2 linked regions of the Coturnix japonica genome follow. The protein of the gene in region 1 purifies or fractionates together with the protein of each later gene. This does not show direct contact. Links are inferred from orthologs where the notes say so. Each region holds a gene or a part of one and is shown in the gene's direction. Other genes may lie near its edges.

Region 1 (3,166 bases):
TATATATATATATATAAATAAGTAAATACAAGGGGATATATATATATATATATATACAGCTTTACAGTGCACGTCTTCAGTTAAAAAAGACCTGTTTTGTATTATTTTTCCTCTTTTTCTGCTCTTCGCAGCCAAATGGCAACTGTCTTCTTGCCACTTACCGATGCCAAGCAAATACTACAAGACTTGAACTTAAGGTAAAGTGCTGTAAATTATTTTCCATAAGAAATTGTGATGTGGATGTTTGCTGCAGTGTGAAGGAATCTTGCCTGACCTGGGCTGAACAATTAAGCTGAGTAAATGGTTCATCCAGTTTGTGTTTGTCCCTGCTCAGGGACATGATTTAGTGGAAGGCTGTTAGAGGCAGGGTAGTATGGTTAGGTTGCGGTTGGACTTGATGATCTTTAAGGCCTTTCCAACCTGAGCAATTCTATGATTCCATTATTCTAGTGCTGCTTGTTTCCTAAGCAGTGTCTAATCTGGGGCTAATATTTTTTTCTGATTGGTCCAGGGTTTCTAAAGCCTTCTAAAATTGTGTTACATCAGAGGAGAGCTTGGGATCCTTCATTGAGTACCCCTAAAATGAAAGCAGTTGAGAAATGGTCAGTAGTGAGTGTACTTGATTCTGTGGAATTGAAAGTGGAGAAGTGTGGGAAGGAGAGCACTGACACTTTTTGTCCTGAGAAGTGTTTGATGTGGCTATTCTCAGTTGTGTGGTTTCTTGTTAACAATCCAACACATTCAAACATTTTTGTAACTATAGCTGGGGAAAATGATAAGAGAAATCAAGATTATTGAAGTTAATCCTCAGGATAAATTGGACTCTGGGCTTTCTTTTCATGCAGTCACCTCACACTGCAGCCTCCTACCTTGATATTTGTTGACTGCACGTTTTAAAGGAAAAGATTGTGGTTAGAAATTTAAGCCTGTATAAAATGCATCAAATGTGGGGGAATTTCTATTCCTTTTTTGATGAGGTCAATTATGGAACTAGTGGGCAAGGTTAAGACTCTTATTTCCTGGGTCCCTTAAGCAATTCTGTTGGTGTGCATTTTAACTCTTGAGCAGGTCACTTCATCTGACTCCATCTTTGTGCTTTTTATTTAGGGATTACCAAGTAAATATTATTACTCTTCTGTAGTACTGCAGAAAATCTACAGATTTCTTTCTTATATTTTGAATAATAACTACTTCTCCAAATCTCAGTAAATCATTCAGTTCTCTCTTGTTCTTTTTTTGTGGCTTCTCTGTTTCCTTCTTCAGATTCGATCAATTGAAGGACGATATGGAACACTTCAAGCATATGTAACTCCAAGAATTCAACCAAAAACCTGCCAAGTTTATCAGTACCAAATTAAACCCCTTTCACTTCATCAGAGAACTCATTCTATTGACCATGACAGGTATTTGCAACAACTACAACAGCTGAGGGAGCTGGGTTGCGGGGTGACCTTATTGCAGCCTTTCAGTACCTAAAGGGAGCCTTTAAACAGGAGGGGAGTTGACTCTTTGAAACGGTAGATAATAGCAGGACAAGGGGAAGCGGTTTTAAGTTGAGGGAGGGAATATTGAGGTTGGATGTCAAGGGGAAGCTCTTCACAGCGAGAGTGGTGAGGTGCTGGAACAGGCTCCTCAGAGAGGTTGTGGATGCTCCATCTCTGGAGGTGTAAGGCCAGACTGGATGGGTCCCTGGGCAGCCTGGTCTAGTATTAAATGGAGAGATTGGTGGCTCTGCCTGTGGCAGGGGGGTTGGAGATTCATGATCCTTGAGGTCCCTTCCAACCTGGGCCATTCTGTGATTCTCTGATTTTTTATTTGAAAAACTGATGCAATCCAGTCAAAAATTGTACTCTATAGGCTTAAGCATGTCATTCCTAACCTACATTTTTGAGCCCGTATGAGTTTATAGGCTTTGTAGGTTTGACATAAATTACAGATTTAACTGGTTCCCACATCCCTAGCTTTTCTTTATGTGTTTTCAAGGTCTGTGTATTTTTCACTTTACTGACTTGTGCTATAGAGCAATCCAATTAATAGAGTTGAGGGTGTGGTAGAAAGGAAACTGTGCTGTGACAGTAACCGCAGTCTTTTCAGTTTCAGCCACAGTCTCCCCTTTACACCTATATTGTGATTCTTTCCCACAACTAATTTGACTCTGAAATTGAGCCAAGACTTTTCTTCCTTATCTCTGAATTTGAAATCTACTTATTTATGTATTTTCTACTTGATTACTCTGTCCTTAATTAACATCTTATGTTGCATGCATTAAAACAAAACTGACAAGTTGAAGGAATTGAAGGCCAAATGCAAATACATTCTATGCCTCATTCTTGAAATAAATGTCTGTGGTTTACAGGATGGGAAACTGTTGAAGCTTAGCTGTATTTCCTGTGTTTTTTAGCTACTTTTCAGGTTTAACAACTTGAAATGGTGCATGTCAAACACCTTCAGTTTCTTATCCAGTTCTGACATGCCTGCTATGATGTAAAGGTGGAATGTACACATAGGTTTTGGTTTAGAAAACTAGCATTAATCAGCAGTGCGTGGGGACGGGACTAGGGGTAATGGGATGAAACTTCAGCATAGGAAGTTCCGCATGAATGTGCGGAAGAACTTCTTTACAGTGAGGGTGATGGACCACTGGAACAGGCTGCCCAGGGAGGTGGTGGAGTCTCCTTCTCTGGAGATATTCAAGACCCGCCTGGACGCCTACCTGTGTGACGTGGTGTAGGGAGCCTGCTTTGGCAGGGGGGTTGGACTTGATCTCTAGAGGTCCCTTCCAACCCCTACAATTCTGTGTGATTCTGTGTAATCTGTGCTGCACGGCTACTTAGCAAGATAACTGACTTCATGGACAGAGCTGATTATAAAAAACCACCAACTTGGAACTAAACATTTTTTTCTCATATGGATTACTAATGCACTATCAATGCTCATCCTTTGGAGCCAATAGTGACTTTTGAACTTTCATCCTGTCATAGGCCAATGAATACACTGATGCTCAAAGGACAATTCAGTTTTGCTGAAATTCACTCTTGGGTTGTGTTTTGCTTACCTGAAGTCCCCGAAAGGACTCCGCCTGGAGAGACTGTCACCTTTTATTTTCAAAACACCTTCCTGGGTACCCAACTTGAAAGTACTTACAGGTAAAATACAACTACTAGAG
Region 2 (4,261 bases), on another chromosome or scaffold:
CGCTGTTAACCGGCTACAAATATAAAGCCCTTCTCAGGGGATAGCCCCTTTTGGAAGCAAGGCTTAATTTAGGTTTGCATTACTCAATGCTGGGGAAGAACTGTGCCTCCTAACCCGCTTTCTCTGTGCTGTTCCCCTCCGCTGCAGATACTGCGAGAGTCGACGAAGGGTTTTGTTGCAGCACGTGCATGAAGGCTACGAGAAGGACCTGTGGGAGTACATTGAGGACTGAGCCTGGCCCCGCATAAAACGAACTCTGAACCTTTTACCATCTAGAGCGCCCGTGCGATAACAATAAAAACACACACAAGGCACTACGCCTGTTACACCGCTGGTCTGTAGAACCGGGATTCTGTTTTGTTAACAGAAAATTTAAGTAAATTATATTGTAATAAAAAAGAGGTAGATAAACCATTGTACAACAGTATTCTAGGCGGCCAATAAGAGTGTGACAGACTCACAAAAAAAAAAAGCAACCCTCCAACTTTAACTTGTAACGTAGCTTCATTTTCCAAGCGACTCCTTTTTCTTTTCTATCTTTCTTTTCCTGTGTGTAGTACAGATGAAATTTAAACCAGTTTCTTGACACTGCTTTTCATGTCCAAACCAGCCATTTTGATGTACTTTGGTAAGGGGGGGGGATGCCTCCCGCCCCCCTCCTCCTCTCTGCCCCTCCCTCCCCCCCAGTACACGGATGAATGTTGATTGGCTCCTTGTAAAGATGATGTTTGGGGAGGGGAGGAGGGGGGTACACAGCAAGGAAAAAAAACCTTTGTATATGACTTTTAAAACAGAAAAAAAAAAAAAGAAAAAAGAGGACAACACAGTATTTTTCAAAGTTGTATATAGCGCATATGCATGGACAAAGAGCAAGCGTGGCACGTGTTTGCATAATGTTTAATTACAAAAAAATATTTATTCTTTAAAAATCTTCAAGATTATGTCTATTTGCTGTGCATTTTCTTTCAGTTGGATTTTTCACTTATATTATTTCCCCCCTCTTGTTCTGTTTTTCGCTGGGATGGGGTGGGCGAAGCGTGTGCTGCTGCAGTGACTGTTGTTGGAGGCTTTCAGCAGGCGAGTCGGAGTTCTCCTCTTGGTGCAGTTCCTTTCTGTCCGTCGTTCTGTGCGTACCCAGTGCTGGCGGTGGCCCCGTCGTTGCCATTCAGGATGCTTTGCCTCCTCCCCTGTTTTTTCTCCCCACATTGGTTCTGCCTGACCTGCCCCAGTCCAACTGTGCTGCTCCACCTGCACACGCAGGACACGCGCTCTCATCCTGGAGGAGCTGTGTGTGAGTGTGTGTGCGAGTGTGTGCGTGCACGCATGTGGTTAGAGTTGTTTTCTTATTTCTCTGAATTCCAAGGCAGGAAAAGGAGGGGGATTTTGCACCACTTCTCCAAAGACTTATGGCAAGATTTCGGCTGTGGATCTCCTCTCCCATCCCCTCTCATCTGTCCAATGGAGCGTTCCTTGCTGTTAAGTTTCACTTACATTATAACGAGTCGTAACGTTGAAAAGGAGAGATGATGGAATTGTCTTTGTGTTTGTTTCGGGCTCAGTTACCGGGCACGGGGTCCCGGCAACTCTTTAACACTCCATCTAGCGCAGTAGAAACTGAAATTGAGAGGGTATTTTTCAATTAAAAGGGGAAAGAACTAATGAGCTATAGCTGCTGAGTCCATTTTTATGATTTCTGTAACAAGAGCTATGTTAAAGTAAACAATTGGTGGTGGTTTTATTAAATCTACTCCTGTATAGGAACTCCTCCTGTGGTATTTTTCGCCAGGCCTCGAGCTCTGTGCGGCCTCCGGGGGGAGGAGGGGCCGAGGGCGGCTCCGCAGAGCAGGGCCGGCTCCGGGGGAGGCCTGAAGCGCCGCCATGTTGCGCTGCGGGCCGCGCCCGGCCTGCTGCCCTCGGAACGGCGCCGGGCGAGGGGGGGAGGGCACGCGGGGCTCCGGGGCTGCCCGTGTCGGTCGGAGCGCTCCCGTACAGCGCGGCGTGCGAGGACGGGGGGAAACCGCCGCTGTTCTGAGCGCAGGCGGCGCTTCACCGAGGAACAACCGCCCCCTCCGTGCCGCCCGGCCCGGCGCCGCCCTCCGCTCCCCTCACGGCCGCGCCTTCCCGCCTTGCGCCGCCCCGCCGCCATGGCAACCGCGCTCCTCCCGCCGCCATGGCGGAGCCGCAGGCCGGGCCGGTGAGCTGAGGGGATGGGGGGGGGGCTGCGCTGGGTGCGCCTTCCTTTGGCCTCTGTTCGCTTTGCCTATGTTGGCGGCATCACCGTCCCCCCAAAAACAAACAAACAAAGTCTTCGCTGTGTAACCGAGCTGCTCGTTGACAGCGGTGGGAGCCGTGCCGCTGAGGTAACGTTGTGCTTCTCTCTCCTCAGGTTTCTTCGTCGCCAGTGGTGGCGGGACCGTCAAAACCCCATCCTAAAAGAGGTGGGTTTTAAGTTCTGGTTGTGCTTATCGGGCAGGTTGGTCTTAAGATTTCTTCTTAGAAGAAATCTAGCAAGGATTAACTGCTCACTGGGAAAAATGAGGCAATCGTCATGTAGGATGGCTCGGGTTGGAATGGACTGTAAAGATCACGGAGCTCAGGCTGCCCGGGGTCCACCCGTGTCCGTGTCCCTTCCAGGGATGTCACTCACCGCCTCTGGGCTAATGGTGTCTTCCTCACACCTCACCTCCAGGTCCCCCCTGTTAGTTTAACGTCATTCCCCCTTGTCCTATCTATCACTACCTGCCTGTGTACGAAGTTGCTTTCCCTCCTGCTTACAGTCTCCCTATAAATACTGGCAGGCTGCACTGAGGTCTCCCTGCAGCCTTCTCTTCTCCAGGCTGAACACCCCCAGCTCCTCAGCCCGTCTCCATACAGAGGTGCTGCAGCCCTCGGAGCATCTCCGTGCCCTCCTCTGGCCCCGCTCCAGCAGCTCCACACCCTTCCTGTGCTGGGACCCCAGGTCTGGGCACAGTGAGGGCAGAGCAGAGGGGGCAGTGTCCTCCCTGCCCGCTGCCAGCCCTCTGTTGGTGCAGCACAGGATGCTGTTGGCTTTCCAGGCCCCAAATGGACACTGCTGCCTCGTGTGCGGCTTTTCATCCAACAGAAGTGCTTTTTTTCTAGGGTCTGTGAAGTCACTAGCTTGGTGCTGTTGCTGGCTAACTTACAGAATACTTCTTACAACCTGAGAGACTTTTATTGCATACATAGTTCCTGGGTTGTTAATGGATTTGATCTTCATTTATCTTTTTAAATAAAGAATGGCTTTGTACTTTCAGGTTCAGTTAATACTTTTACTACAATACAAATTGATTGACTCCATAGTGAGATGCCTTGTGTCCATCCTTCTCTATACAGATGATGATTCTGGTCCCCTCGTACCCCGTAACCCCACATCATTGCTTCTCATACAGGTCAGACCAGTGATGTTTGCAGGCTGTGCCTTCTGCCTGTATTTCAGGACACTGTGTGTCTTCAGTTCTCTAAGGCAGCTCCAAGACTGGTGGTGTTTGTGAGGGGATGGGCTATCACTGCCACGCTGCTTCCTGGCTCTATTAAGTCAACTCTGCATAATTCATGAGTGAATGGAATTGCTGAGCAAGAAAGATGGGGCCATCAACCTTCCAAACAAGCAGCAGGGGTGCACTGCATGGAAGCTGCCTTCCCTCTGTCTGCGTGCTTGTTAAACTCTCCAAGCCTTCCTGCTTTTAAGTGTGCGCAGCTTAATATTGATCATTTGGGAGGGTGAGATGAGACAGTTGTGCCTTTCTTAACAGGACCATTTTGCAGATCTTGCTGTTTGACAAAACATTACTTGTGGCTGTTGTGGAGGAGCTTTCTCTCATCATTTGGCATTTTGCATTGCAAGCCTGAAACCAAGCTGGATGCTTCTTTAGGTCACCAGCATTCCTTGGGGTTTTAAGGCTGCGTGGAAGAATTGCTCTGCTCTCTCCACCACGTGACGTGCCTTCCCCATCCTTGGTTTGGTATCAGTGTTCATACAGCTGTGTGCCAGAGGGAAACAGCTAGCAAATGGAATCCAGTACTTAGTGTCCGCTGGTCTCCCTTATGTGCCAATGTGATTCTTCAGGCAAAATTAACTATCACAAAGACAAAAAGTCTAGCCTGGAACTTGTGATTATGTCAGTGTCCCAAGTTAAACCCAGGCATCTCCGGTACGTGGAGCAACCGTGGCGGTTCTTAAATGAAAGGGCTTGGCGACCTTTGCCATTAAGTATTTGACTGTGCTGCCTTCTGTGCACTG

What was found.
Region 2: the proteins of BBS7 (region 1) and BBS4 purify together in Homo sapiens (co-immunoprecipitation; 7 studies listed by BioGRID and IntAct, counting the BioPlex papers as one, with this or other methods). This does not show direct contact. The link is inferred for Coturnix japonica from reciprocal best matches to the Homo sapiens genes BBS7 and BBS4.

What each region holds. Positions count from the first base shown.
Region 1 is NC_029519.1:48,267,680-48,270,845, forward strand, and holds part of BBS7 (Bardet-Biedl syndrome 7 protein), read left to right. Parts: intron 1-131; coding exon 132-197; intron 198-1,263; coding exon 1,264-1,403; intron 1,404-2,981; coding exon 2,982-3,146; intron 3,147-3,166.
Region 2 is NC_029525.1:1,067,451-1,071,711, forward strand, and holds the start of BBS4 (Bardet-Biedl syndrome 4 protein), read left to right. Parts: upstream 1-1,241; 5' UTR 1,242-2,144; coding exon of another isoform or gene 2,145-2,170; coding exon 2,171-2,194; intron 2,195-2,241; exon of another isoform or gene 2,242-2,360; intron 2,361-2,386; coding exon 2,387-2,438; intron 2,439-4,261. Other genes in the region: E3 ubiquitin-protein ligase ARIH1, read left to right, coding at 148-232.